Struthio camelus: one gene and its partners. The protein of the gene in region 4 interacts with the protein of the main gene of each other region in a pairwise test. Links are inferred from orthologs where the notes say so. Each region holds a gene or a part of one and is shown on either strand. Other genes may lie near its edges.

The links.
Region 1: the proteins of EGFR (region 4) and PDGFRA interact in binary tests that used the Homo sapiens proteins (3 or more experiments, as listed by UniProt). The link is inferred for Struthio camelus from reciprocal best matches to the Homo sapiens genes EGFR and PDGFRA.
Region 2: the proteins of EGFR (region 4) and STAT2 interact in a protein complementation assay, tested with the Homo sapiens proteins (3 studies listed by BioGRID and IntAct, with this or other methods). The link is inferred for Struthio camelus from reciprocal best matches to the Homo sapiens genes EGFR and STAT2.
Region 3: the proteins of EGFR (region 4) and PIM1 interact in a protein complementation assay, tested with the Homo sapiens proteins (3 studies listed by BioGRID and IntAct, with this or other methods). The link is inferred for Struthio camelus from reciprocal best matches to the Homo sapiens genes EGFR and PIM1.

What each region holds. Positions count from the first base shown.
Region 1 is NC_090945.1:56,954,010-56,961,536, reverse strand, and holds the start of PDGFRA (platelet-derived growth factor receptor alpha), read left to right. Parts: upstream 1-4,443; 5' UTR 4,444-4,489; exon of another isoform or gene 4,490-4,607; 5' UTR 4,608-4,636; exon of another isoform or gene 4,637-4,643; intron 4,644-7,527. UniProt on the Homo sapiens protein: Tyrosine-protein kinase that acts as a cell-surface receptor for PDGFA, PDGFB and PDGFC and plays an essential role in the regulation of embryonic development, cell proliferation, survival and chemotaxis.
Region 2 is NC_090969.1:444,239-451,735, forward strand, and holds the start of STAT2 (signal transducer and activator of transcription 2), read left to right. Parts: upstream 1-4,320; 5' UTR 4,321-4,360; intron 4,361-5,066; 5' UTR 5,067-5,160; coding exon 5,161-5,291; intron 5,292-5,385; coding exon 5,386-5,536; intron 5,537-5,613; coding exon 5,614-5,712; intron 5,713-5,787; coding exon 5,788-5,880; intron 5,881-5,957; coding exon 5,958-6,036; intron 6,037-6,146; coding exon 6,147-6,232; intron 6,233-6,307; coding exon 6,308-6,456; intron 6,457-6,527; coding exon 6,528-6,686; intron 6,687-6,765; coding exon 6,766-6,918; intron 6,919-7,039; coding exon 7,040-7,060; intron 7,061-7,192; coding exon 7,193-7,286; intron 7,287-7,410; coding exon 7,411-7,467; intron 7,468-7,497. Other genes in the region: protein timeless homolog, read left to right, coding at 1-2, 82-250, 338-406, 478-596, 678-819, 913-952, 1,123-1,208, 1,444-1,559; APOF (apolipoprotein F), read left to right, coding at 2,263-3,288. UniProt on the Homo sapiens protein: Signal transducer and activator of transcription that mediates signaling by type I interferons (IFN-alpha and IFN-beta).
Region 3 is NC_090965.1:4,863,905-4,871,547, reverse strand, and holds the start of PIM1 (serine/threonine-protein kinase pim-1), read right to left. Parts: upstream 3,190-7,643; 5' UTR 2,972-3,189; coding exon 2,890-2,971; intron 2,761-2,889; coding exon 2,654-2,760; intron 2,544-2,653; coding exon 2,493-2,543; intron 2,380-2,492; coding exon 2,013-2,379; intron 997-2,012; coding exon 820-996; intron 520-819; coding exon 362-519; 3' UTR 1-361. UniProt on the Homo sapiens protein: Proto-oncogene with serine/threonine kinase activity involved in cell survival and cell proliferation and thus providing a selective advantage in tumorigenesis.
Region 4 is NC_090943.1:60,447,702-60,454,734, reverse strand, and holds the start of EGFR (epidermal growth factor receptor), read left to right. Parts: upstream 1-3,881; 5' UTR 3,882-4,192; coding exon 4,193-4,337; intron 4,338-7,033. UniProt on the Homo sapiens protein: Receptor tyrosine kinase binding ligands of the EGF family and activating several signaling cascades to convert extracellular cues into appropriate cellular responses.

The DNA of each region.
Region 1 (7,527 bases), on a different chromosome or scaffold from region 4:
GCTTCCACGGCTGTTTTGGCATCTTTTAATGTCAAGAGCCAAATGCAGCAATGAAAGCAAAAGTTGCGGCTCGAAGTTGCGGCATCGGCGGCCTTAGTGGGAAAACGGCCGGCGCAAGGAACTACCTTAAACAACCGTGTGGTGAATCAAAATAAAGGTAGGGGAGGGGAGGCTGGGAAACGCGGGGCTAGCCGTTAATTTCTTTTGTCTGGCTCACTTCTCTCCCGGTGACACGAGATCCCTGCTATTCAGCGCCAAATTCTGTTGAGCAAACAGAATGAGCGGAGCTGCTGCTGCGGAAAGAGAGCAAGAGCAAGCCCGGGGGGGGCCTGTGAACGCGCGCAGGTCCGCGGGGGCTGCCGGCCCGGAGCTGGCTCGGCTCGGCCCTCCCCGCGCTCGCTCCCCTCCTGCCACAGGAAACCCTCGCTGCTGTGCTCTCCTCCCTCGCCGATAGACGTGTGCACAGATTTATAGTGACAAGCGAGAAGAGGCCGCGCAGCTTTCTCCCTCTCTCGGGGTTTGATGAGTTTCTGCTCCAGATTGGAGCCACTCTTGAAAACGCAGGGGGCTGCTTGTTTTGGTTTGTGTTGGTGTTGGGGGAACAGGCGGGCCGCCGGGGGGTCTCCATGCCCCCTGCCGCGGTGGCCCCCCCGCCTCCCTGCGCATCCGGGAGCCGCTCGTTCCCCGGAGCTTGCAGGAATCAGCAGGCAGGAGAGTCTTTGCCCTCTGCTAAAGAAGAAAACACTACTAAACTTTTTTGGGGGAGAGGGGGAGGAAGACATTAAAAAAAAAAGTGAAAAAGGTGACCAGCCCGTGGATGACCCATGCAAATACAGCCTGGCCAGCATAGGGCTATTCAATGTATATACACCATAAGGGAAGCTCAGCGTTTTACGGGTCCAGATTAGCAGCCCTGCGTTCACGGACCTTAGAGAAGGCAGGCGGGAAGAGCCGAGCGAGCCCCGGGAAGGGCCGAGGCCCGGCCCGGTGCAAGGCGGGCGGCCCCGGCGGGGTGCGGGCGGCCGGGGCTGGCAGGCGGTTTCAGCACCGCGCATCAAAGTGAACGCTGCGAAGGCTTGAACATGGGTAACAATAATCAAAACCAGACTTTCCTTCCCACCACCACAAAGGCTGAGTCCCCACGACGGGGCTTTTTTGCAGGGCCCGGGGCACCCCGCCGGCCGGGACGGCAGCACCGCACTCCGCGCGCTGCAGAAGGAGGTAGCCGCTCCCGCGGCCGCTTGGGGTCCAAATTAACCCCCTATTAGCCTGCCTAATAGCCTGCAGCTAGTTAAACTCAACCCAGCTCACCCTTGGGAGAGAGCTTCAGGAAGGGGCTCATTATTCGCAGCAAATTGGGACTCCTCCTGAGGGGCTGAGCAAGGCCTCTCGCAGGCTCCCAGCCCCTCTGGAAAAGTCCGAGACGGCAAAGAACCGCCCTGGAAAAAGGGGGAAAACGCAGCTTTCCTCGGCCCCGTCGTTGCCCTCGGGCCGGACCCCTGCAGGCGCTTGGGCCTGGGGGAAGGAGCTGCCCCGCCGGCCCGCGCCCACCCCGGAGGGCACGTTGGGAGCGCAAACAGGCGAGAGCGGCTCTAGCCCGGACGCCAGTTTTGTTTAAGACGTGCAGCTTCCATCTGTTGCCACATAAACACACGCTAGCAGGATGCCTTACGCTCCAGCCCCCTATGGGGGGAGGAGAGGAGAGGAGACAGACTTGGGGGTAGCAGTGGTGAAAATCCCCCACCCCCAGCCTGTCCTTTCAGTAACCCCAAGTCCCCCGCGCCTCCCTGGACGGGACCCCCCTGGGCCACACGGGGCGGGGGGAGCTAGCTCCGGAGTCGTCCTAAACGCGTTTATTTGAAATACCACCTCCCCTGCTCGGGACCAATCCATAGGCACCGCCAGCACTTCGGGGGGGGAGCGGCCCAGCTGCTTTCCTGCTGCGGCCGACCTGCCCTTGCAGGCGGCTCCGCGGCCCCTCGCCCGACGCCACGGTCGGGGGCTGCCTGCGGGCCAAGCCCGGCGAGGCCCCCGGGGGCCGGGGAGGGCTCGAGGGTCCCTCCCGCTGCCGCTCCACTGGGAGAAACCCAGTGCCCGCCTTGCCCGGGGCACAGCCTCTCGCCCTGCCGCCAGCCCGTCCCCCGGCTCCCCTGCGCCTTGCGGGGTCTGCCGGCCGCGGCGGGGGACTCCTCGCCCTCCTCCTTCCTCGGGGGGGCGGGCGCGGGGCCGGGGAGCCACGTCGGGGGAAGCGTCAGCGCTGCCCCCGGAGCCGTCCTCGCCGGCCCAGGAGGGGCTGGGGGACGGGGACACCGCCTGCCCCGTCCCCTGTCCCTGCGGGAGCCGGCGGGCTCCCCGCCCGCAGCGCCAGGCTGGCCTAGCAGGCAGCTTTACCAGTCCCGAATTTGCAGTTTTGTATTTTTTGCTCGGTCCTGTGAGATGCCACATGGAAGCCGTTAACGAATGCTCGATAATGATCATGACAAAAGCATTATTCAAATGAGGCAGGTAATTGCAACCAGAAGGCGCGTTCTCCCCTTCCTTTTCCTCCTTTCTTTCTGCAAGAGTTCCTCTCCCATTACTTCTGATCCTGACGGTACTTCGCCAAGAATCACCTTCATCGCTTTGCACCTTAAACCAGATACACTTACGCCGATAAATCACAACCAAACGAAGCACGACCGTGCAGAATGTCCTCAGCGCTCACAGGGAGTTGTTGTAACCGATTTGAACTTTAAATCTTCGTGGCGCTTAAATCTGCGCGAACCCAGAGCCCTGATCAAATTAATGATAGGGTTTTTCTCCTCCAGCCTCCACAAATTACCGGGGTCGAGGCTGCTGTGTTTGCTTGCACCCCGAGGTAGATAATTCCAAGGTGCAGTGACTTTTTGCCTTGCTTTTTTGCTCGCTTGGAGCCTGTTGTTTATTCACAAGCATTACGGTATCCTGTTAGCATTCCGAACAAGGGGCTGCTCACAGATCTGACTCCGATGATTTCCTGGAGGAACATGTGGAAGCAATAGCGGGGTTGTGCACTCACCAGGCTGAGGATGCACTAGTGGAGAGCACGCAAAAGGCTGTGAGCACCACTGGGGACCCTGCAAACCCAGCCACTGGGACCTCAGCTTGAACATGCTTTTCACAGGAGTTGGTTCTCGTTTCTGCCCCCATTCCCTTCAGGGAATCTGCGCTTCAGAGGCTTAATTCTCCTTCTGTTAGGAAGGAGAAAAAAAGCACTGGATCCTGCTGCTTGACTTTGAGAACAAACTTTTCTTTTGTGCAACGCTAAACGGAAGAAAAATAAATAAATAGAAAAGCAGGCGCAGGAGGGAGGGTGGGCGAGCCGCGGGATGGGGGGGAAGCAGGAGGGAGCGCGGGGCGCAGCTCCGGCGTCGGTGCGGCTCCCCGGGCGGCGGCGGCGGCGGCGGCGGCGGCGGCGGCGGCGGCGGCGGCGGCGCGGCGCGCTCCGTTCCTGGGGCTGCACTGCCCCCTCGCCCGCGGCCGCCGCATCGCCCCGCCGCCAGCACCGGCGCCGCGCCGCTTTTCGCACGGACTCTCCAGAAAAAGGCAAGAGCAGCTCCCTGTGAACTCCCACGGCTACCTCTTATCGGCAGCAAATAGCAAGAGCCAACAAAGAAGAGATACCCGACTCTCCCCAGCGGGGATCAAAGCTCTGCCCAGAGCGTATTCAAACAGGACCCACTCAAACGTGCGCAGCCCTCGCCTCCACAGGCACCTCCAGCCCTCGGCAGTGCCCCGTGGCTTGGTTATTACTGGGTTTTGTTTGCGTGGAGCAAACCAAAGGAAGAGAAGAGTAGAAGAGCTTTCCCGATCCCGCCAAAGCGCCACGGTTTGGTGTGGCTGGCTCCTTGTGAAGGTTACCTTTCGTTGTGTCTTTCATTCATAAATATTAGAGATTCGTCTCTCTCCCTCTCTCAGTGCTTCCTGCTTCTGGCTGCCACCCAGCCGTCCATGCAGCTCTCTCTACCAAGCCCATGCTCAGTAGTGTACAAAGGACATGAGGAAGCTGCACATTCGTTTCCCGATCAAACTCCTCATCCATAAACTCACACTGTGACCGCGGACACCGAGCCCGGCGCCCGACCCACCTTCCTAGAGGGTCTGAGGAGGAAGGCTCATTCATGACATTGGGAACACTCTGAGTTTTCATGAAACTTTTTTTTTTTCCCCCTGCAGTGCAAAACTCTCCGATTCCCCCTTTCCTCCCCCTCGCCCCTGCCATATGGCTAACCTCCCCCCTCCTCTGCAAGGCTGGTGAAATCTGGAGGCTGAGACTGGCCCCCCTGCCTGCGTAAGAGCCCGCCGCCGGCACGCCCGCCTCCGGCCGCGGGGCTGGGGGCGCCGAGCGCGCCAGCGCGGCTCTTATTCTGAAGGGGCCGGAGGGGGCTTAATTTCCTGACAGCTATTTACTTAAAGCAAATGATTAGTTTTGGAAGGATGGACTATAACATTGAATCAATTACGGGACGCGGTTTGTGAGCCCATTACAGTCGGATCTGGAGGGAGGGCGAGCGGGAGGGAAAGAGCGCGGCGGAGCGGGGAAAGTCACAAAAGACGTGGACATATTTTGGATATTTTACAATCTGCAGGATTGTAACTGCGGATTACAAAGGAGAAGGTACGAGGTGAGGGAGGATTTTCCCACTTTTTTTTTCATCTTTTCTCCCTCTTTGTTGCTGTTGTCGTTGTTTTATGTTCCTCTCCCCCCCACCCACCCCACCCCCGTAATTTATGTGTATTTATGTGGGCTTTTTTAATGCTCTGTCGGCGGAGCCCCGGTGCGGCTGGACCGGGCGGCGGACGCCTTCCCGCGGGGCGCAGGCGGCGGCGGCGGGCGCTGGGGCCCACGGCGCTGCGCGGGGCGCGGGGAGCCGGCGCTGCGCGGCCGTCGGGGCGCGGGCGGCGAGCAGCGCGGGCGGCGCTAATGACAAACACATTGGGGCGGCGGGGGCCACCGCGCCGCGCTCCTGCCGCGGGGGCCGTAGCGCCCCGACGGGCTCCGCGGGCTGCTGCGGTGCCCGCCCCGGCGGGGACGGGGCCACAAGCACCGACAAAGCGAGGTAGGGTCGTGGCCAGCCGCTCTCTCTCTTCTCGCAACCCGTTTAATCCCCACCTCTGCCCTTGCTTCCTTCGCCCCCGCTGCTCTCCGGTCCCTTCCCCCACCCTTTGTTTTTCACCACCTTCCCCTCTTTAGAACCCCCTTCCCTGCCTAAGTCCCTCCGACCGGGTAGTCTAAAGAGCCTGAGACCCCGAGGAGGGGACACACAAACACCCCCCATCCAGGCAAGCCCATCTCCATCCTGGCGCGCCCCGTCTTTTTTACACGTCTCGGCGGAAGGGAAGATGCTGAATTCAGGCAGCCCGACTGGTACCTGGAGGCTTTCCAGCTTACAGCCCCGCTTACAACGGGAACCCAGCCCCGCTCCTCCCTACCAGACTCCCGAAGCCCACCGCCTTGCAACCCAGGGGAGGGCAGAGTCTTCACGGCCACCGTCTGGATTTTGTCAAGCGCGGAGGTTGCAAATTTGCCAGCTTCTGCCAGGCTGGAGTCCCCTGGAAAGCCCTAGGAGCAAGTAGGAAATGGCTTTTTGGCTGTCCACAGCATTGCTCAACATTTTTGGATGGCGATTCAGCAGCCCAGGAGCCGTTCCAGAGAACAGGACTTGGACAGCTTTTTCTGGAGCGAGCAGCGACAGATTTCGCGAGGCAGCAGCAGCAGCCCCCGAGCTGCAGCAGCCAGCCCCTGCGGCTTGCCCACATCCCGGAGGACCGCGGGAGTGCCTTGGCCACCCCCTGAGCCCTGCGCATGCTTCCCGTGCCCCTTGACGGCCTTTTTGGTGCATCTCTTGCAAATCCTGCAGCCTCCTGGCACACCGCTGGCACCCGGACTCCACCAGCCGGCATGGACCGGCATCACCGCAGGCTGGGTCAGGCCTGACGGACACGGTGCCCCTGGCGATTCCTGGCTGCCCCTGGACCCCACGGGCAAGTGTGTGCAGTCCTCCGAGAGGGTGCAGGAAGGTCCGTGTCTTGCCTGATGGAGAGAGCTGAGAAAAGAAGCCCGGAGCTCACCTCAAATCAGAGTGCCAACCATATTTAATCAGCTCTGGAGGGAAACGCATGTTTGCTCTCCCCTTCCCCCCTTATCCCTGTCGCCCTTTTCTTTTTCCTGGCTACCTCATGTGAAAAAATTTGCTCCAGCTTGGCAAAGGCTTTCCTATTGTTTCCTAGACAAACAGTGGTGGGCTGGGAGCTGCCATCTCTGCTAGGTTTGCTGGGTGTCCCAGGCAGCCTTTAGTCACCCACGGTGTAAGCAGTCAGAGCCTGGCTCAGCCGAGGAGCCGTGGGCACCAGGAGGCCCCGGGAAGTGGCACTTCTCCCGCTCCCTCGGGGCTTCTGGCTCTCTGCGAGCCAGACTGGGGCTGGCAAGCATCGACACCCCACGGTGGGGGCTGGAGAGCGTGAATGCACCCGCTCCCAAACTGAGCAGGCTGATAGCCTGGGTGTCCTCGGCTGTGAGGCAGGAGTGCTGGAGCAGCGGGACCCGCTGTTCTGGGCCAGCCTTGCTCCCCTCTTGCCACCTTTCCCCTGGTTCCCCTGTGCTGCCAAGCAGGGCTGGGGGCACCTTCAGGCACCCCGAGGCATCCAGGGAGGTCCCGTCCAGGGCTGATAGAGCCCAGCTGGGCTCCCGCCTTCATGTGTCGACTTGGCGTCCCTGGACGGGGCAAGAGACAGGATCTGGCAAAACGAGGGGACAAGCATCAAAGGTTCCTCTGTCAGCGGCTGGAGCAAAATGTGAATTGTACAGATCCGGCTTTTAATTATGGGTCTAGAAGTGAGAGGAAGATCTCCCAGCAAGGGACTTCACTTTTAGCTTCCAGTAAACAATGGGCGTTTTAGAAAGGCCCTCTGCTAAACAGTGGTTTAGTTAACCTTCCTCTCAGAGCTTGAAAAAAAGTTTAAAGAAAAATGAGGTCATACAAAGCACTGGGATTTAGGAGTCCGCAAGTAAAACAGCTCTCCCAGCTTGCAGGCAGTCACTCGTCGCTTAAAACGAGACTCCTTGTTCTGGTAGTGCTCTGTAGACATCAAGGGGGAGAAGGTGTGCCACACTGGCAGTGATTGGGCACTGGGGCCACCTTTCTTGTTATTTGCTGCTCGATATATGGAAGATTGTTGAGAGTAATATACATGTATTAGGTTTCAAGAAAGCGGGAAGTAATAAATATTTGAATAAAATGCCTCTCCACAATACTACAGTATCAAGCTAGGATTTGGGTGTCATTTATATAGGCCAAAGAAGACTTGCATGCTACAGACCTTGTTGGTAATTGCCAACTACATCACCTGGTGTAAAATGGAACATAAAATGGATTATTTTATACAAGTCTTGCCTTGCTTGTATCCTTTGTTCATCATGGCCGCAATGGCACTAGTCCTACATGTGAACTCCGAAAACTTTAATAGGATATGTTTACTTCAGTTGTTTTAAAGACCAGGGCATGACTT
Region 2 (7,497 bases), on a different chromosome or scaffold from region 4:
CGGTAGGAGGGGTGTGCGGGAAGGGTGAGGAGGGAGCCTTGTCCCAGGTGGGTGCTGGAAGGCAGGGCTGGTCCTTGGTAGGATGAGATGGAGCCCTTGGGGGCACCCGCCCGGGACAGCTCAGCAGAGGAGGGCGACAGTGACGAGGAGGAGGAGGAAGAGGACGGTGCTGAGGAAGGCCCCATGGAGGAGCACTGGGTGCCTGAAGACGGGGCTGGGCAGGGACTGGCACAGCGTCTGAGGCAGGAAGGTGAGTGGGGGCTGAGGCTGTTCAGGCCTCTGGTTTGCGTTTGGCTCCGGGAGGATGGATCCTGTCTGGCCTTCTCCGTGTCCGCAGGCCTGGCTGGGCCTCTGCAGTGGCTGGAGAACTACTTGAAGCGGACGGCTGGGGACCGCGAGGAGGACGGTGAGTGGGAGCCTGGGGCTGGGGGCCGGGGCCGGGGCCAGGGCCAGGCTCACGGCACTCTCTGTGCCCAGGCGTGTCCCACCCGGTGCCCTTGGTGCCGCTCTCGGAGGAGAACGAGGACGCTATGGAGGACAGGCGCTTCCAGGCCCTGCTGCGGAAGCTGGGGGTCCGGCCCCCTGCCAGCGAGCAGGTGAGACCCCCCCCACCACCACCACCATGCCCCCCAGGCACGGCGTAGCCCAGCCCTGCAGCATCTCCCCTCTCTACCCAGGAGTCCTTCTGGCGCATCCCGGCCACCCTCACGCCCCAGCAGCTCCGCCGTGCGGCTGCCTCCCTCGCCCGCCAAGGACCTGAGCCCGAGGGATCCCCGGGACAGCTCTCGGCACCGCAGCATCCCCAGGGGCCAGCTCCAGGTGAGGGGCCGGGACAGGGTGGGGGGAGCTGGGCTCAGGGCTCTCCCAGCGACGGGACCAGCCCTGATCCGCTCTTTCCCTTGTCCCTCTCAGCAGAGCAGCCACCGGCTTCGCCGGGATCGGACTTGGAGAGGTGAGAAGGGGAGCTCTTGCTAGACCCCTGCCCCAGACACCTGGGTCTTCTCCCAGCTTGGGGGGGGGGGGCAGACTCCTGGCCTCTCCCCGTGTGGTGGGGACAGACCTGTGCCCCTGGGGCTGGGCAGCGCAGCGTCGGCCTCTTCTAACCCGTCGCCATCGCTACAGTGCTGAGCCGGGCCCGGTCCCGGCACAGGCGGGCACCAAGCGGAGGTGGCAGGTGCACAGTGACGACGAGGACACTGCAAGCCTGGGTGAGCTGCGCCCCTGCTTCTTGCATGTAACACAGCACCTCCCTGGGGGGCTCGCAGCCCCCCACCAGGGCCCAGGGGGTCTCCCACAGGGCTGCTGCTGGGTGATGCTCACCATGTCCCTGCCCCCCAGAGCGTGGGGCTGGGAGGAAGGCTGAGTGCAGGGCTGGGCCCCCACCCCAGGCAGAGTATGGTGCTGGGGGTCCCGGCCCCCACTGGACCCCCTCTGCCCCTGCAGGTGCTGGGCCAGGCCCTGCTGGGCCCTGTGTGGAGGAGGATGAGGTGCTGCAGCCCCCCAGCAGGCGGAAGCGGGTTCGCCGCGTGGAGGAGGAGGAAGAGGAAGAGGAGGACTGAAAGGCTCTTTGTGCCCTGCCCAGACCCTCAGTGTATCCCAGCCCTGCAGGGAGCAGGGGGCTGCGGGCCCTGCTCCCTGTGGGCTTCCTTGTATTTAGTTTTCTGCTTTTTCTGCAGGTTTTTAAACTAGTTTTTAAGGGTGGGGTGAAAGCAGGCTCCCACTGTCCCCCTCCTCTCCCCTTCTCATGTCCATCTCCGTGTTTTTAGTTTAAAGGTTGCTGTTTCTCAAGGATGTCCTTTTCTTTTCTAATGCCACCTTTTAATGGGGAAAGAGACCAAATAAAAAGTGCAAATCTCTCCCTGACTTGGATGCCTTCGTTCCCATGGGGGGAGCACTGCCCCATCCCTGCTGCGTCCCCTCCTCTGTCCCACCGCGCTGGGTGGAGACCTCTGTCCCCTCCCACCCCTCTGTTCCGGGAAGGTGCCAAGATGCTTGCAGGATCGGGCCCAGCCCCCAGCGTGTCGCAACCGGCCCTCGATAAGGGCCCAGGCAGGGGCTATAAAAGGACCAGAGAAGGGGGTCGGCCACAGACACGCAGCGGCTGTCCTGCGGGCTTGGGGACGCGAGCATCGGCAGTGGGTGAGCGGGGGCGCTGGTGGGGCTGGGGTGGTTGGGGGGGGGGGGGGGAGCTGTGGCCACCGGGAGCTCATGGGCTCTGCCCCCTCCTGCTGCCTTGACAGGCTCTGCCGGGAACGACCTGCCATGCGCTGGGCTCTGCTCAGCCTCCTCCTCTGCCTTGGCGCTGCGGCCAGCTCCACCGTGCCCCCCGGGCCGGACGCTGCCGCCGCAGCTCGGGCGCTGCTGGCGCGGCTCTCCGAGCTGGGCCTGCCGCAGGCACTGCCCGGGGCCGCCGGCGTCTCCTGCCGTGACCTGCAGCCCGATGCCCTGCCCGGCTTCTCCCAGCTCCCGGCGCTGCCCCGCGTGCTGGCCCAGGCTGCCCTGGCGCTGGCGCTCAGCGAGGCGGGCTGCGGCCCCCAGGCCGAGGCGCTGGTGCTGGGGCTGTACCGGGAGCTTGAGGGCCCCACGGCTGAGGCCCTGCTGCAGGGGCTGGTGCGGCTCCAGCGTGCCCCGGGCAGCGGCCACCTGCCCCTGCTCTTGAGCCTGGCCCAGCTCGGCGCCTCCGTCCCCGTCCAGCCCTGCGCCGGCCTGACGCCGCTCTCCAACATCCAGCTCTGGGGCCCCGTGGCCAGCACCCACAGCCGCTTCGCCGGGGCCGCGAGGGCCTGCCAGCGCCTGCAGGCTGCCTGCGCCGGCGTGGCAGCCGCGGGGCCCTCCTCCTTCCAGGCCGTGCGGCGTCAGGGCGCCCAGGTGCTGCCGGCGCTGGGGGCCCGCTCCTGGCTCCAGCGGTGCAGCCGGGCGCCCCGGGGCCGGAGCCGGCGCTCCAGCGAGGACATCTGCAGCTCGCCGGGGGAGCAGGAGGTGCACAGGATCCTGGAGTGGGTGCCCAGCATCAGCACCTTGTACAACCTGGGCACCAGCCTCTACTACGCCTACCAGGGCTGCGAGGAGCTGGCGTCTGAGCGGGCCTTGGAGGCGGCCGTCGACCTGGGCTACGACAGCCTCACGGCGCTCAGCGCCGCCGCGGGCGGCCCCGTGGCCTACGGCGTCCACCTGGGGCTGCAGCCGGGGCTCAAGGCCAGCGTGCGGGCCCTCATCTGCTACTTCACCTCGGACGGGGACCCCCCGCCGGCCCCCACGGCCCACGCCGGCCCTGTCCTCCTCGTCTGAGCCGCCAATAAACACCTGGCAGCGCCTCTGGCTGCGTGTGCGTGCGTGCATGCGTGCGTGTGGGGCAGGCCACGATCAATGGCTGGGTCACCCTGCCCCGGGGCAAGGGGAACTTGGCCCGGCCCGCGCCAACGGCAGGGCTCTGGCCCCTGCCAGCCCTGCCTGCCTGCCCCAGCAGCGCCGCCGCGCCGGGGTGGCTGGGGCAGCCGGGCTGGCCCCATAGCCCTGGCCCCACAGCCCGGCCCTGGCCCCACAGCCCTGGCCCCACAGCCTGTTCCTGTCCCCATGACCCTGTCCCCATGGCCCTGGCCCCACAGCCTGGCCCTGGCCCCACAGCCTGTTCCTGTCCCCATAGCTCTGGCCCCACAGCCTGGCCCTGGCCTCACAGCCCTGGCCCCACAGCCTGTTCCTGTCCCCATAGCTCTGGCCCCACAGCCTGGCCCTGGCCTCACAGCCCTGGCCCCACAGCCTGTTCCTGGCCCCATGGTCCTGTCCCCATAGCTCTGGCCCCACAGCCTGGCCCTGGCCTCACAGCCCTGGCCCTACAGCCTGTTCCTGGCCCCATGGTCCTGTCCCCATAGCTCTGGCCCCACAGCCTGGCCCTGGCCTCACAGCCCTGGCCCCACAGCCTGTTCCTGGCCCCATGGTCCTGTCCCCATAGCTCTGGCCCCACGGCCTGTTCCTGGCCCCATGGTCCTGTCCCCATAGCTCTGGCCCCACAGCCTGGCCCTGGCCTCACAGCCCTGGCCCCACAGCCTGTTCCTGGCCCCATGGTCCTGTCCCCATAGCTCTGGCCCCACGGCCCTGGCTCCAGGTCCCTGCCGCCGCGGCCTGCCCCCAGCAGGGCGCCACCATCTTCCCCCTCCCTGCCCCGTTAGCCCCGCCCCCCATGGCCCCGCCCCCCTCCACACGTCATTTCTGGGAAGCGGGCGACCCCGCGGGAAGACTTATCTCCCGGCCGGGGGGGCGTGGCCACGGCGCCGCTCTCCGCCAATGGCTGCGCAGAGCGGCGAGGGGGCGGGGCCACGGAGCCCTCCCCGCCCCGTCCCGGCAGTCCGCGGAGGGGGCCGAGGTGGGAGCGCAGCGCCGAGCACCGGGCGGGGGCCGCGGGGGGCGCCGGGGGGCGCCGGGGGGCGCAGGGAGCCCTCTTTAGGGGGCGTCCCCGGGGGAGTGCAGGGTGGTCCTGCCGGGGGGCGTCCCCGGGGGGGTGCAGGGAGCCCTGTTTAGGGGGTGTCCCTGGGGGGGTGCAGGGAGCCCTCTTTAGGGGCGTCCCTAGGCAGGGTGCAGGGTGGTCCTGCCGGGGGGTGTCCCCGGGGGGGTGCAGGGAGCCCTGTTTAGGGGGTGTCCCTGGGGGGGTGCAGGGAGCCCTCTTTAGGGGGCGTCCCCGGGGGGGTGCAGGGTGGTCCTGCCGGGGGGCGTCCCTGGGGGTTGCAGGGAGCCCTGTTTAGGGGGCGTCCCCGGGGGAGTGCAGGGAGCCCCTGCCAAGGGTGCCCCGGGGGGGGTGCAGGGTGGCCCTTTGGGGGGTGCCCCTGGGGGGCGCAGGGAGCCCTGTTTAGGGGGTGCCCCCGGGGGGGGTTGCAGGGAGGCCCTGCGAGGGGTCCTTTGGGGGTGCTGCTGGGGGGGTGCAGGGAGCCGCTTTGGGGGGTGCCCTGGGACGCTCCCCTTGTTCTGGGGAGGGCTGCCTCCCCACCCCGTATCTCGGCCCCCCCGAGCACGCCTGTCCCGGGCCGGGTCCCAGCCCGACGCCCTCCCTGGCTCACCGCTCCCCGCCGGGCCAGGACCGGGGCTGCCAGCGCCTGCACGGAGCCCCGGGCCGGGGCAGGGCCCGCGGCTGAGCCGCCTGCCGAGCGAGCGGCCTCGCCTGGCCCCAGCATGGCCCAGTGGCAGGAGCTGCAGAGCTTGGCCAACGCCGCCCTGGAGCAGGTCGACCAGCTGTACAGCAGCGTGGCGCTGCCCATGGAGGTGCGCCAGTGCCTGGCGGCCTGGATCGAGGACCAGAACTGGTAAGGGGGCGGTGGGGGGGGGGACGGGACGGGGGGAGCCCTGGGGCGGCGGGAACCGCGCCGGGTCCCCGCTGACCCCGCGCGGGGCCGGCAGGCGCCAGGCGGCCGAGCCGCTCTCCTCCCACGCCCGGATGCTCTTCCACTCCTTGTTGGCGCTGCTGGGCGACCAGCTGGGCAGCCCGGGGCTGGGCGACGAGGACTTCATGCTCAAACACAACCTGCGCAAGGCCAGGCGCGACCTCCAGGTAGGCGGCGAGGCTGGGCTGGGGGGTCCTGGGGGGGCTCCGCACCCTGCTGACCCCCCCCTCCACCTCATCCGCAGGCTGCTTTCGAGGAGCACCCGGAGAAATTTGCCAACCTGGTGGCCAACCTGCTGCAGGAGGAGCAGCGCATCCTGCGCCTGGCGCACGCGGGGCAGCAGGTAGGAGGGGGGCCGGCAGGCGCCCCCCCCCGCCCGCCGGGCCGGCTGGTGCCCAAGAGCCCCGTGTCTCCGCAGGGGGGGGCGGCCCCAGCGCCCAGCGCGCCCCCGCAGAGCGACCGGCAGCAGGAGATCCAGCGCCGGCTGGCCGACTTCCAGGCGGCCCTGCAGGTAACGGCCCCCGCCGGCACGGCCACCCGGGCGGCGCAGGGCGGCACGGCCCCCCTCACCCCCCGCTCTGCCCCCAGGACGCCGAACGCGCCTTCCGCCACCTGGAAGACGCGCAGGACATGTTTGATTTCTGCTACAAGGTGCACTACCTTCCGGGTAAGGCTCGTTTGGGGTGCCCAAATCCTTCCTGCGACCCCTGCAGGCAGCAGAGACGCGGGGCCGGGGAGGGCCGGGGTGCCGGCCCCCCCTCACCCCTGACCCCCCAGGCGAGAACAGGACCAGCGATCCCGAGTACGCCAAGCAGGTCCAAGGGCTCCAGGCCAAGCTGCAGAAGCTGGACCGGAGCCGGAGGGTGAGCGGGGCCCTGAGCTGGGCGGGGGGCCAGGCCTGCCCTGCACCCCCTGCTCAGGCTCCCGTCTCCCCCCAGGACGTGCTGGCTCAAATGCAGCAGCTGCTGGGGCGCAGCGAGACCCTGCGGGACTTCCTGCAGCAGGAGCTGGGGGCCTGGCGGGAGCGGCAGCAGCGCGCCTGCCTGGGGGCCCCCGCCGACACCAGCCTGCTCCAGCTGGAGACCTGGTAGGGCCGGGCCGGGCCGGGGCTGGGGGCGCCGCGGCCGGCCCCCGCTGACGCTGCCGCGGCGCCCGCAGGTTCACGGCGCTGGGCGAGGGGCTCTTCCAGCTGCTGCAGCTGTTGCGGGCGCTGGGGGACCTGCGGCACAAGGTGACCTACGAGAGGGACCCGCTGCAGGCAGAGCCGCCCCTCCTGGAGACGCGGCTGCGGGAGCTGCTCACCTACCTGCTCCAGAGGTGGGCGCAAAGCCTGGGCGGGGGGGGGGACGCAGGGCTCTGGGGCGGCCCTGACCCCCCGCCGGCCGCTCGCCCCCAGCGCCTTCGTGGTGGAGCTCCAGCCCAGCATGCCCACCTCCAGCAAGCGCCCGCTGGTGCTGCGCACGGCCAGCAAGTTCTCCGTCCGCGCCCGCCTCCTCGTCCACCTGCACGACCGCAGCCACCACATGGAGGCCAAGATCCACATCGACAGGTCGGGCCCCCCCCCACACCCGGATGCATTCCCCCGCCTCCCCACAGAGGGGGGATTTGGGGACCCCCCAGCCTCGCCGTGGGGCTCCCAGGGCCCGCTGACGCCCTGCTGTCTCTTGCAGGGACCCCCCCAAGATCCGAGGGTGAGAGCTGAGTGCCGGCCCCCAAAGCGTCCCGGCTCCCGAGGGAGGATCCCGGCTCCCAGGGAGGATCCCAGCCCCTGCGGGGGTCCCAGCTGCAGCGGCCCCCACCCTTGGCCTCTCTCTGCCCCGCAGTTTCCGCAAGTTCAACATCTTGACGTCAAACAGCAAAACCCTGGTGGCGGGTGACGGCCCCCAGGACGGGCTGGTCTGCGACTTCCAGCACCTGGTACAGACCCCCCCGGACGCCTGGGTCCTCTTCCAGGCAGGGAGAGCGGGGCAGGGGCTCAGCACCCCCAGCCCGGCTCGAGCCCCCTCCCCGGGCCCTGGACTGACTCTCTCGTGCCCCGCAGACGCTGAAGGAGCAGAAAGTCAGCGGGTCGGGCAAGGGCAGCAAAGGCGCCGGCGAGGTGGGTGCGGGTCTGCGGGGGGCAGGCAGC
Region 3 (7,643 bases), on a different chromosome or scaffold from region 4:
CACTTGCCCTCCCCCCACCCCCAGAACAGTTCCCCCCAGTTGACGCTTTCCTTGCTCTAATGTCTCTGATCCTCTCACAGTCCCGAATTCAGCAGGCCAGGGACACTCGTGGGAGCGCCCGTAAAACATCACCAAAAGTTGACTGGCAAGACATCAAGGAAGACAGGACCATTAAGTTCAAGTCCAGGACACCTGGGTTGGATCGTGGCCACCAGCTCTTGGATGATGGACTCTCCAGTTTGGTCTAGCTCTGGAATGAGATGTAGATGTTCCCATGTGACGATCCCCACTCAGTGCTACAGTCACGAAGAAGAATTCTGTTTTCTTTCATTGTTTTACAGCCAGGAGATGCAAGGAACTGTTATTTGCTAGACTCCTGGAGCAGACTGTGCAGGTGGATCTCTGCTGTCTTCTGCGGTAGGTGGACGCCTTGCATCCAAGAATGGTTTAAAATGTCTTCGAAAGATGGCCTGTCCGAGGGTCGCAGGGCCAAACACCATTTGATGAGATGCTGGCATTCTGAGGAGAGAAGCCAAGGGTCAAGCTAGGAAGGCCCGAGACTCCTGCCTCTCTCGTGTCACTGTCCGGATTGCCCTGCTTTGTGCTCAGGGCTGCTCCCAACACCCAAATACATCAATCAACTAACATTTTTGGAGGGTAGCCGGCAGGGACGGCAGGACAAGCGCCCACCTTCTCTAGCCTCCAGCTAACCGAGGAAGAGATCAAAACCCTCCCTAACCAGTAAGAGCTGGACGCTTGCGTATCCAGCATCATCTCCTAACACGTGCTATTCCCTGATGCAAAAAACCACGTGCCCACCTGGAGAGACCCTCTGTCGGAAGTACACCTGGCCCCGCACAATCTCTTCATCGTGCTCAAAGGGGATGTCTCCGCAGACCATGTCGTAGAGTAACACACCCAGGGACCACACCGCCGCCGAGCGGCCGTGGTAGCGATGGTAGCGGATCCACTCTGGGGGGCTATACACCCTGGTGCCTGCAAGAGACCGGAGGGACTCGTCACGCGGGAAGAGCCGGCATCCCTCAGAGCACACCGGCACCGGGGAGGAAACGTTTGTTTTGAACATCATTAGGGTGGTTCCAGTCGCATTCGCCCCAATTGACGCTGCAGCATCTCCACCTCGCAGATGCGATCGAGGGCGACATTCATACCTCCCAGCTGCTGTTTAGCAACAGCGGCGTCACGGCAGGGCGCAAGGGAGGCCGGCAGCCGGGGGCCGACCCGGCGCGGGGAGCAAACGGGCTTCCCCATGCAACGCCGACCTGCGCTCGCCTGCACCAGTGCCACCAGCTGCAAAACACGGCGTGGGGCGATGCAGCCCACGCTCGAAGCCCTCGGGGAGCCGGAGAGGCGCAGATGCCTGCCCGGGCACCCCCGGGCGCCGAGGCCGAGGGAAGGGGGGGGCCACCGGGATCTGTGCGACCCGCCCGCCACCACGTGACTCTTGTTTACAAACTTTAGGTTGTAAAAAAAAGCCGCCGGTGCCGGAAGGGGGCAGCACTGGCTCGGGGAAGGCCCGGGGCCCCGACCGTTACATGCAAAATAAATAAATAAATAAATAAATAAATAAAATAAAATAAAGCACCCATGGGAGGTGGGGGAAAAACCCGCCCCCCCATGCAGGGGGAAAAAAATAAAAAGGCAAATAAGGGGCGCGGAGCAGCCCAAGCCTTTCCGCAGCTGCAGAGCAAACGGGCTTCGCACCCGGGTTTTGCAACCTCCCCTCACAACGGCTGTTTGTTTTTGTAGGGTTGCCTTCTCTCCCCAACCCCCCCACCACCCCCAGCTTCCCCCACACGGATCAGCAGGTTGGGTGTCCGGGCAGGGCCAAGCGCCGGCTCCCGTTTCCCAACGCGCACCCCGCGACAAAAAAAAAAAAAAAAAAATCAAGCATAAAATAAAATAAATCAAATAAAAACTTTGCAGCGCAGCCGGCAACAAGCCGGGGGTTCGGGGGAAGGGGGGTGCGAAGCATTGCAAACCGGGCTCACCGTCGAAATCCGTGTAGACCGTGTCCTTGAGGAGGGCGCCGGAGCCGAAGTCGATGAGCTTGAGCTCGCCGGTGGCGAGGTCGACGAGGATGTTCTCGTCCTTGATGTCGCGGTGCAGGACGCCGCAGCTGTGGCAGTGCCGCACGGCCGCCAGCACCTGGCCGAAGAGGCCCCGCGCCAGCTCCTCGGGCAGGGCGCCGCGCTCCGTGATGAAGTCGAAGAGGTCCTGCACCGGCTCGGGCCGCTCCAGCACCAGCACGAAGCTGTCGGGCCGCTCGAACCAGTCGAGGAGGCGGATGACGCCGCGGAAGCCCGAGCCCACCTTCTTCAGCAGCAGGATCTCCATGGGCACGCGGGTGCCGCCGGGCTGCCGGGCCACGGCCGCCGTCAGCCGCCGGGCCGCGCCGGTTCGGCACCCGCCCCCCCCTCCCCTTCATCCCCCCCCCACCACCACCACCCCCCGGCGCCCCCGGCACTCACCAGCTCGCCCCACTCGGAGATGCGGTCCCGGGCCACGTGCTTGATGGCCACCTGCAAGGCAAAGGGCAGCGGCGGGCTGAGCGCGGCGCCCTCCCGGCCCCCCCCCCCCTCCACGCTCCTCTCCCAACCCCCGGTGCCGCCCCCCCCCCCCCGCCACTCACCGGGGCGCTGTCGGAGAGGCGGACGCCCGAGTAGACCGAGCCGAAGCCGCCGCTGCCCAGCAGCGGGCCCACCTGGTACAGCTTCTCCAGCGGCTCCTTCTCCTTGCCTGCGGGCGAGGCAGCGCCGTCAGCGCGCCGCCACGGCGCCGAGCCGAACCGGGACGAATATCCCCCCCCCCCCCCTTCCCCGCCACCGCGCGCCGGACCGGCTCGAACCGGACCGGACCGGGCCTCACCTGGCTGCAGCTTGGCCGCATGCAGCTCCCCGCCGGGCCCCGAGCGGAGGTGGGCCAGCGAGTTGATCTTGGAGAGCAGCATCCCTTCCCCGTCGCCCGGCTCCAGGGCCGGCACCGGCGCCGGCACCGCCCGAACCGCACCGGGCGCCGGCGGCGCGGTTCCGGCAGCCGGGCAGAGACGCGGGGGGGGAGGGAGGCGGCGGGCGGGGAGGGGGCGAAGAGCCCGGCCGGCGGAGGGGGGCGGAGGCGGGGAGCGGGAGCGGGCGCGGCGCGGCTGCTCCGCGCGCTGCCGGGCTCCCGTGTGGCGCGGCGGCCCCGCGCCGGCCGCGGGAGTAGCGGGGGGCGGGGGCGGGCCGGGGAGAGCCGCGGGGCGGCGCCGCGTCGGGCCGCGCCGCGCCGCGCCGCGGGGGCCGCCCCGCCTGCCCCGGCGCGTCGCAGCCAATGGGGCGCCGCCGCGGGCGCGGCCCGCGCGCCGGAGGGGCCGCGGCGGGCCACGACGTGGCGGGAAGGAAAAGGCGCCAAAGGGGGGGCGGGAGCGGGAGCGGGGGCAGGGCACGCGCATTGTGTGCGGGCACCGCGCGCGCGCGTCGCCGCCGCGGGCTGCGTCCGGGGCGCCGTGAGGGGACGCGGTCGCCCGGGCTCCCGTCGCGGGGCGACGCGTGCGGGGTGGGGGAGGGGGGGCCACTGTGAGGGCACAGAGGCGCCACGGGGGTGGGTGGGGGGCGGCGGGCTGACGTGGGGGCATTGTGTGAGCGCACACGCGGGGGGGGGTCTGCGGGGGGGTGGCCTGCGTGACGGGCTGTGGGTGAGGGGGGTCCCCTGTGCCTGACAGGCTGTGTGTGTGAGATGAGGGTACCGCATGTGTGACAGGTTGTGTGTGAGGGATGGGGGGGGTCACCTGTGCCTGACGGGCTGTGTGTGTGAGATGAGGGTACCGCATGTGTGACAGGTTGTGTGTGAGGGACAGGGGTACCATGTGTATGACGGGCTCTGTGTGAGGGACGGGGGTACCCTGTGCCTGACAGGCTGTGTGTGTGATGAGTGTACCACATGTGTGACAGGTTGTGTGTGTGTGTGTGTGGGGGGTCACCTGTGCCTGACGGGCTGTGTGTGTGAGATGAGGGTACCGCATGTGTGACAGGTTGTGTGTGAGGGATGGGGGGGGTCACCTGTGCCTGACGGGCTGTGTGTGTGAGATGAGGGTACCGCATGTGTGACAGGTTGTGTGTGAGGGACAGGGGTACCATGTGTATGACGGGCTCTGTGTGAGGGACGGGGGTACCCTGTGCCTGACAGGCTGTGTGTGTGATGAGTGTACCACATGTGTGACAGGTTGTGTGTGTGTGTGTGGGGGGTCACCTGTGCCTGACGGGCTGTGTGTGTGAGATGAGGGTACCGCATGTGTGACAGGTTGTGTGTGAGGGACAGGGGTACCATGTGTATGACGGGCTCTGTGTGAGGGACGGGGGTACCCTGTGCCTGACAGGCTGTGTGTGTGATGAGTGTACCACATGTGTGACAGGTTGTGTGTGAGGGATGGGGGTACCGCGTGTGTGTCAGGTTGTGTGTGAGGGACGGGGGTACTGTGTATGTGCCTGACGGGCTGTGTGAGAGATGAGAGTACCGCATGTGTGACAGGTTGTGTGTGAGGGATGGGGGTACCGTGTGTGTGACAGGTTGTGTGTGAGGGACGGGGGTACTGCATGCCCAATAGGCTGTGTGACACATGGATATTGTGTGTGTGTGTGACAGGCACACGGGTACTCTGGACACGTGTGCGATACATACATGGTTGTGTGTATGTGTAGCTGTGTGTGTGTGTGTGTGTGCACGGGGAAGGGTATGTGTGCACATGGATACCTGCAGGCAGCGTGTGCGGCCGTACAGCAGCATACGCTTGTGTGCGTGCACTTGGGTGTACCTCATATCCCTGCAGGTGTGAGCGCGCGCGTGTGTAAACTGCTGCTTTAAATAAATAAATAAATAACAATATTTGAAGATAAAATAAAAAAAGCTTTTACATGCGATTTCCTTTTTAAAAACAATGTTTTCCACGCAGCGGCCTTCACCTGAAGCGGCCCAGGCAGCGGGGGCTCGCGCTTCGCACCCCGCGCGCGCGGCCCCCGGATCCGCGCTGGCTCTGCTCCGAAGGGCCGCCCGAAATCTCGCCGCCGGATTTTTATTACATGCAAGCTGGGGCAGGAACAGCTGTTTTCCAAACAAACACTTCGCTGCAATGGCAGGTTGCATCAACACGAAAGTGAAACCGGCTGCCAACGCCGGGCGCTGCTGACTAAGCCCCGGCCGGGAGAAGCGCAAAGGGTGAAAGCAACGAGTGGGGCCAAAGCGGACGGAGGTGCCCGGCAGCTCCGTCGGGGGCATCGGGGCCACCACATGGGACCCGTCCCTTCCGGGCCTTGGCAGCAGGATTTGCTCCTCGCCGGACGTGAGGTTTCCCAAACGGCCGGACGACTGTAGTTTGGGGGATTCGACTCGGCGGGGTGCGGAGGTGACAAAAGAAAAACCCCAGCGGCTTCTGCCGCCGCTGCGACACGGCCGCTCCGGGCAGCGGTGGAAAAAACGCCGGGTGGATGTGAGGAGTTGCAATTTCTCCCACCGGTGAAGTGGGAATAGGGCCCCCTGCGCCCCGGCCGCGTCCCGGCGGGGCCGGTGCAAGATGATTCGCCGTTTTTATTGGCAGCCGGTGGAAGACGGTGGCGCGAGCGGTTCAGCCTGTTTCGGATCCTGTTCTGTGGCAACGTGGGTGCTTCCGTTCCTGGTCCAAATCCATGGAAACATCCCAAAAGGCAGCTTGGACTTTTGGCATTAAAGGGCTATTTGGCGGCAGCAGCCGGCATCGCCCAGGCCCCCTTTTTGAAGAGTTTGGCTCGCCTCGCGCCGTTATTGTCGTTACTTCATCGCTTCCTAGTACCCACAAGCAAAACGGTGCCTGAACTTTTCCCTTTTCTAGTAAAAGTGGAGATTCCAGCTGGGGGTTCTTGACTAACAGCCTTTTTTTTGGGTGGTTGTTGTTGGGTTTTTTTTTTTTTTTCCACAGAAGTTGCTGGCTGAAATGCTTTGCCGAGTTCCAGAGATAAGATAAATAATTTACTGGATGTAGGTTTCTGATTACTCACTCTATTAGCATTTAGAGCAAAGAGCTCCAGCCACTGGGAGCTGAATTATTACAGACGAAGCCCATCTGGGTTCCCGTGCCTGCGCGAGACCGAGGAGTTCCCAGCATCCCACACATACTTGTGGAATGAATTGCTGAAATCTAATGGGTTTTACTGGAAATGCTGGTGAGCGCCGGTCTCTCTTAGTTTTTCTTCAAAAAAAAAAAAAAAGAAAAAAAGAACAACACAAAAACAGAACAAAACCAAACCAAAAACACCCAACAACAGGCAGCTGCTTCGGCCGCTTGCTGAGTTAACCCCCCCCCCCCCAACAGCGCTATCGATCTGCAAACAGTCGCCCACAATAAGATAAGCACCGAGCGGCTGCTGCTCTCGCCCGGGCCGGGAGAGATGCTCTTTCCCGGAGCGTCTCTGCTCGTCCCCGTGGGTCGGGCGCGGGACGGACGCCGGAGCGGGTGCCTGGCCGCTGCGGGCCCTAGGGCGCTTCCCGCGCCCGCCCTGCGCCTTTTGGGCCCTGCAGATGCTCTGCAAGGGGGCTCGAGCCCCCTTCCCCCCTCGCCCCGTCCTGTCCCCCGGGGTTTGGTTTCTGCCCAGAAAGTGACATTTTGGTTTCGGGAAAGTCTGCAGAAACCTGACGCAGCAGCTCTTTTTCCTTTCCTTCTTGTGTGCGGGGAAGGGTGTTGCTTTTTTTTTTTTAGTGTTATTATTATTATTATTATTTTGGGTGACGCAAACTCAAGGCGGAGGAGAAGGAGGGCAGGGAAACGCGTTTCTCCGGCGTTATTCCCACCCGAAGCCTGGGCAGGTTCGAGGCGACTGGTTTACGTGAGTCAACGTTCGGCACCGGGGCGAAGTGACTCAGCATCTGGCCCCAAAACTCATGACCAAATTCCTTGCCGCCGTGATGATGAAAAGGTGCCCAACGGGCTGCCCTGGAAACGGAGGCTCTTTATTTACAAACAGAGCACACCCGGGGGAGCGGCAGGGCTTTCCTAGGGGCTGCCTTCCTCCGACCTCCTCCGGAGCCGGCAGGCAGGCGCATCCCTCTTCCTCGCGCCGGCCAAGCTGCTAATTAGCGTCGGAGGGAGCAGCGTCGTCTTGCAACCCAGATGATTTGGGGGCCAAATCATCGACGCGCGCGCAAACCTACCCGCGCGCTCATTTTTGCTGAGTCGGCGGGCGCCTCGTCCTACCGGCACCCAGGCGGTTGCAGCCTAGCGGGGAGCCCTTCCGGATCGGGGAAAACCACCCTCGCCTGGGAGACGAGACCGTGGAGACACCTCGAGGCCTGGGGCGCGCTGACGGCGGCACCCAGGAGGGGACGGGGAGGCGCTCCCGGGACCCGCACAGCGGACGCGGCCGGCTCGCGGGAACGGCCGGCTCGTGGGAACGGCCGGCCCGCGGGAACAGCCGGCTCGCGGGCGCTCTGTCCTTCCCGGTTGCATCCTTCCCCCTCCAGAACGAGCCACCCAGAAACATTTCCGTTTCCCAAACCGGTGGCACTTTTCCACCCAGTGCTCGGCCCCCCCCGGATTTGCCTTTCCCTTCCTCCAGCCTGGGCTTTGCTGGTCCCGGCTTGATGCCATTAGCGTGTGTCAGAGGTTCAGAGTAACATGA
Region 4 (7,033 bases):
GATGCTTCCAGTGACATGAGATGTACCGACAGCATGTTCAGATCTTATTCCATGCAGTCATATAGAGATGTATGATTTGTGGTTGAGAAAGAGAGTTAAGGCAGCACAGTAGTATCCGTGTAAGTCACCCTAGCAAAGTACAGAAATAAGCCAGAAGCTTGTTTCTACACAGGAAGCTACTGTGATGCTTAGTAGAAAAGATCTTGCAGATCGTTTACTCCACGTGTGCCAATTGTTATTCTTATATTTACTTTTCTGTTGCCTACCTCAGTTAGTGAATAAGCTGGTGCTGCAGATCCCTATTCACAGTTTAAAACATTTAAAAATCTGTTTCTGAGTGAGGCAAAGCTTCCCTGGAAAATGCAGCATTGACACTGACTAAGGAAACTGAGGTGACAGGTAAAACCTGGGTGTAAAAATGATAATAATAATAAAAGTGTAAGAACTCTCCTGAGATAATGCTACGGTCACGTGTTGAAATACTGGATGGATTGATGGTGGAACTTACTGTAATTAAGGTTTAACTCCAGCATCCGTGTGTGTATCTGTCTCGTCCTTTACACACCACTGTACAAACAAACAGTGGAAGAGAGCAAGAATCGGAGTATTTAAACAAAAAAAATCTACATTTTCATCAGGGAAGTTCTCTAGCAGCAGCCTGATCTGGGGAGATTCAAACACAATAGCTGGAATAAGCAGCTCTTGAGTGATAACCCCAGTACTGCCACTAATACTCCGCCCAAGGCAAATTATTTTACATCTATAAAATGGAAATGATAGATACTAACCTGCCTTACAGGAGATTTGTGAAGATAAATTAGTTAATGTTTATGCAATGTTTTGAACATGTCATGCCATAAAGCTCAAAGAATTATTACCTCAGTGAGGACTCTTAGAATACAAACTGCAACGCAAACTACAATGTCCGCAATCTCAAATACCATGCAAATGAAACCTGAGCAAGCCAGATTTAAAAGCCCTGCTAATTCAGCTCTGTCTCATTTCTTTTCTTCCGAGAAGAGGCCTGCCCTTTAAAATCACTTGTGCAAAACGCAGGAAAGAACAGCAGTGCCATCCGCGAGCAGTTGCTTATGAATTATTTTGGAGGGGCAAATGCCCCGTTTATCAGTGGATAATTAAAATCTATCCTTTTTTGGTTTTATTCAAGGAAGAAATCAAGCTGCAGGGACGACTTTGCTCTTGAAAGGATTTTGAGACTTTATTCTGTTTTGAGAGAATGTGGAAGGGGGGGACAGGAAAATTGATCCCACTTTTCCCACTTTTTCCACCAGTAGGGCAGTCAGTGGCTCTCCCTCTGTTGGCTCCTGCTCTCCGCGCGTGGCGGAGAGACCAGCTCAGCAGCACGGGCCGCAGCTGGGGAGCAGTCGCGGTTCTGCTCTCCCATCCAGCAGTATCCGCATGTGAAGGAACTTTCTCTTTAGCTGGACTTTACTTCCTATGTCAGTGCGTTTATGCTTCATATCTGGAAGATAAGTATACAATACAAAGCAAGTGAGTCCCAGAAAAGCCGAAGAAAGATTTTGCGTTTAGTATGATATTCTCACTAGGTAATATTAATTTAACGCTAGTTGTCGAAAGGTCGACCTTTGTTTCGTGGCCGTAGATTCATGCACACATGCAGCTGGTATTTAAAGTTTTGCAACGCGAAGGAATATTGCATGCCCATGCTCAAATTTGCGTAGTGACATTAGCCTCAAAGGAGTTATATCAAATGCAATCACTGGGTACGTGACCAGCTTTTTGGGAAAATGTCATATTTAAATTTAAACTGTTCCAGAAATTGTTCACTTGTGTAAATAGGAAACAGCAGAAGGCTTGAAAGACTCGACCGTGATCATAAGCATCCAAGTCCTCGGGTCTTACAGTCCCTACGTTATCTTGTGACTCTCACAAGTAGAGGACAAATGTCATGAAAATAACACATTTGGGCTCAAACAGGTGGGAAGACAAAAGTGATGGCAGCTTGCTGCACAGCCCCGTCAGTGGTACTGCAATGCCAGCATCAGACTAGATTTTCCTATAGTGAATTTTTAGAGGGTGGGGAAGAATTTAAAGGGGAATTTGCTGAGTCTTCCCTTGCCCATCATGTTCAGTTTTACATGGAGTCACATAAGGACAGCTCATGATGGGAGGCAAAGTGAGTATGACAGATTCCTGCTCAGAATGGCAGGTAGAATCACAATTGCATGAAAAATTCTTCAGCAAAAATATTTGTACGTTAGTATGTTAGGACTGGACTTTGACAAGTTTTTCCATTCAATTCATACATCAGAGATGGGGTTTTTTTCCTGTCTTGAGCTCATTTTTCCGTTATCACTCTGGTGATATCACTCTGAACTTTCCTTTCTCAAATGTAAAAAACTCCATTGCTTTCAACAGTTGTGTCTTGATATAATATATTTAAAGACACATGTTTTTATTTAATATTTGTCTACAGCACTGATTTGAGGTTTGTTTCTATTGTGTCTTAATTGTACGTCCTTATAATGAAAGCTGCAATCTTTAACATTTTTTGAGGTTGCTTTTGCAGCCCTCCCTCCTGAGAAGCTGATTTATTTTCCTGGGCATGTAATTTTTAAAAACCCTCCTATTTGTCCAAATAAATGAAAATCAATTGTATACATGTAATAGTTATGAGGCTGCACTGTATGAGCATCTTTGAAGGAAACAGCATGAATGTTGTATTGATAGATCAAATGCCGGCATCAGTTACAGCCATGAAACCAATCACATGAGTAGAGTTGCTCCCATGTTACCAATGCATGAATTTACTTCAAAGAACTTCTTTGCATCATTTACAAAATACAATCAAAACAGATTGTCAGCTATAGCATGCAAAAGCTGCACGGCGAGAAACTCAGTTGTAACCCAGTTTATCTTAATAAATCATTACAGGTGTGATGGGACACATGGTTAAAGGCCTCTGCTCAAGCATGTTTTTTGTGCTAATATAAGTAAATGGGACAGTTTTTCTATGTCTAGTTGGGTCAGGAAGTAGTTAAACTATCAGGAAAAGATAGTGCAGAGGAAGTTGCCTGGCAGGAGAACAGTAATGCAGCACAAAACATGCATCATCGGGGAAAGTCAAGATACACTCAGTGGCTCTTTTGCAATCTATTGTGTTCCAACACGTTGTGATAGACAGAGGCATTTAGCACATCATCTCCCAAACCCTGTGTCATTACGGACCTCGGTGCTGGAGTTCCCAATTAATCATAGCAGTTCCTGGGCTTCCTATCCTATTGCCTATGTGACTGAAGACCTCAGTCTTCGCAAGAGCGTTATGAAGAAATTAGCAACAGCATTTAACAAATCTGGAGGTTGACTCAGGAGGTGGCAGCAGACTGACTTGACTCGGGGAGATCCCGGCCGGGACGAGTGCCACTTCTGCGTCCCGATTTACACGCCTGTCTGACGAGACGCTGCTTCCTCCCGGTTTTGGGGAAAGGTGTTGGGTTAAAACCAAGACGCTCTAACCACAAGCATATACCACTAAATACTGAACAGCGTGCTTTGCCCTCCTGGGACGGGGTTGGGGGGTGGGGAAGGAGGGAGGAGAAGTCCGCATAGGCGCTTTTGCTTCGTGTCCGTGAATTTCGCCGGAGCCCCCGGGGAACACTTGTGTCCCTCAGCCTGTTTGCTCAGTAACTTCCTCCGCGGAGCGACTGCTCGCTGCCAGCGCCAAGGGCGCGGAGCGGGGCCGCCCCCTGCCCTCGCCCCCCCACCGCGGCACAGGTGGCGGGGCCGCCCTTCCCCACCTGGGCGGGGAAGGCGCCGCCGGTTCCTCCTCCTCCTCCTTGCTCCCGCCCCATCCTCCTCCTCCTCCTCCTCCGCGGCGTCCCCAGAGGGAGCCGCTGCGCTCCGCGGCCGGGCGGAGAGCGCAGCCGGGCGCGCCCCGTCCCGCAGCCGGCGCCAGCCGCTCCGCCACCCCGCGCACCCGTCGCTGCCGAGGACGACGAGGAGGAGGAGGAGGAAGCAGGAGAGGAAGGCAGGCAGGCAGGCAGCGGGCACGCACGTGTGCGCGCAGCCCTCGACGGCGCGGCATGCTGCGGGGAGCAGCCGCGGAGCGGGGCTGAGCGCGGCCGCGGCAGGAGCGGGGCAGCTCCGCGGAAAGCTTCTCCGTGCGCTCCAACCGCGCCGCGCCGCACCGCGGGAGCGGCCGTCCCGCAGCATGGGCGGCCGCAGCGCCGCCGCCGCCGCCGGGCCCCGCGGGGCCGCTGTCCCGGTGCTGCTGCCGCCGCCGCCGCTGCTGCTGCTGCTGCTGCTGCTACTGCTGGGGCGCGTCGCCCACTGCTCCGTCGTGGAGGAGAAGAAAGGTACGGGCCGCGCCGGGGGCGCCCCGGGGGCGGGCGCGCCGCTGCCTCCCCTTGGGAGCGGCGCAGGGAAAGTCCCAACTTCTTTCCTTTAAAAAAAAAAAAAAAAAGGGAGAGAGAGGAGGAGGGAGAAGAAAGAAAGAAAAAAAAAGCAAACCTATAGCAGCGATCACGCAGTCTGACTTCCTGATTCTAGGCTTATTTTCTTTTGTGGGGGTGGAGGAAATAAAAGGGAATAAACCTTGGCACATCCCATCGGTTGTACTTTTTTTCCTCCTTTGCCTTTCCCCCCCCCTTTGCTTTTCTCTTCCCCCCCCCCCAATCCCCTTCCCGCGTTGCCCAATCGCTCCGCGGAGCGCGCTCCGGGCCGCCCTGGCTCAGCCGCGGGGCGGCCGCCGGGCCCCGCTCCGCACCGCACCGCCCCGTGCTGCCGCCCCCCGCCGGGGCCGGACCCCGCGGAGCGGCGCGGGGGCTGCGCGGCCGCGCCGCCCCCCTGCGAGTACCGCTCCGGCAGCCCCCGCCCGCCGTCGGGTCGGTCGCCTTGACCTGGCGTCGCTGCTCGTCCCGCAAAAAGATCCGCACCTGGGCGGGCGGGCGGGGGGAGGGGGGAAGGAAGGTAGAAACAGGGAAAACTTCATGTTCTTTCTGTTTCTGCCGGTTAAATAGGAGTTATTTATCCCGGTCCCTCCCGGCCCGACCTGGCCGGCCCTCCCTCGTCCCGCCGCGGCGTGACCGCCCGGCTCCGCGGTGCGTGGGAACGGCGCGGAGCGGGCTGCCGCCGGCTCGCCGTTTTCTTTTTTCCTTTTTGGAGAAACTGGTTTAGAGGGTGAGAAAACGTTTCTGGCTGATCAGATCCGTCGCTTTTTCTCTGTGTGTGGTGTTCCCTTTTGTGAGTTTCAAGAGCAGGCCCCGACTGCTGTTCCAGGCAGAGTGCAGTCGTCTTTATCTTGGAAATCTGCCAGTAGTGAAAAAAGCAGATTTTTTTTCCCTTTCTTTCTTTTTAAATATAAAGCGGGAGAAGGGAATTAATAGTTTCTGGAAAGGCTGCATGGCTTAAAACAACTGAATTAGTCTTTCATGACTGTGGACGGAAACATACCTTTCTAAAGCGCTAGTTGCACAACCTTAAAAAAGTCAAGAGATTCTCTTGTTCCAGCAATCAAGTTCATACCTGTTGTTGATGTAATGCAGGCAGTTTTTCTTTCCTTCTTTTCTTTTTTTCTTACGCTCTTTGAAAATGATGGGAAGCAAGCTGACTCCCTCTGCTGAGCTTGTGCTAAGTCTTTTGAAATGCAATCTCAGGTGCGTATGCCCTGTAGAATATGTAGATTCTGAGGAGGAATATCTTGTTTATAGTGCTTGATACTGTATCTCATAATATGATGAGGGTACCGGTTATTTGAGGATTGCTGGATAGCCAACAGCCAAGTGATAAACCCGCTAGAGTTTATTCTCAGTATGTTCTGTTAGTAAATAACTGTATGAGAAGAACTTGCAGCTCAATGACAAAGATGAAGGCAGAACAAAGTCTTCAAGAAGCCTGAATTAATTGATTGGTCTTTATTGCTCCCTACTTCAGCAAGAAAGTAAGTCAGTGGTACATAATCAAGTTGCATTTGAGAGTGATGAGATACCACAGGTAGTGGACCATCCACATATGTCTAGACTCTACCTCCTGGGTCAAGCGATAGGATCCCAGCATCAGAATTTGGCATTATTTTGAAAGTAAACATGCTGTAACAAACCTGTGCCGTGCTGACAAGCTACAAGATAAAATTCTGTTGCTACAGGAAGTTCAAATGACATAGGAATTCATACTTTTTGAAACTACATAATTTCAGCCTGATTCATTCTATTGCCCAAAAGAGGAGATACCTCAAAGAAATAGTGCTGGTGCACAAATGTTATTCTTGTCAGAAGAATGTCAAAATCGCCCCATAAAATCTGATCAATATAATATTTGAATGGAAATTTAAATACAGTTGTGTCTTTTCCCAAAACTTTAGAATGAGATCTTTGAATATGGATGAGAGAAAACTAGTTTAGCTGTAACACCCTAGTCATTAAGATATTAAAAAAATATATCCAAAAGCAAGTGGTGGTGTTAGAAATTGAAATAACACTCACAAGCATCAATACCTGCTGTATATGCTCTAATGTTGACCCAGATTAATAATAGTGGAACTAATCTGGATTTCCTTTCATGTACTCAGGATGGCCTGTTAAGTGGTACCTAAGATAAATACCTGTGATAGCAGGCATGCTGCTTATTGCAGAATGCACATGACCAATGTCCGTTTTGTGTGTCAGTGCTCAGTGATAACACTGCGATTGAAGCAAAATGGTTTTTGTTGGGGTTTTTTTATCGTTCGCTTGGATCTGTAGTTACAGCCACTGTGGGCCAGGAGCGCACTGCTGTATGCTGGGAGCATGCGTGCAAACGCGCTGGGCAGCTCCGTAGCTGCAAAAGTTCTCTGGTGCCTTTTTGTACCTAATGCTTTATACTGCTTTTTGAAAAACAAAGGGAAAGTAGATTCCTTAAGGGTATTGAAATATTCATGTTCACATGAAGTAAAAAACATCCATCTGAGATTCTGTGCAGTGTTTACCTATGTGCTACGTGTGTGCAATGTTGTGTAATGCTGCCTCTGGGATTGGAGGTTCTGCGCCGTATGTTGTATTTCATCCGTGTTTACGAC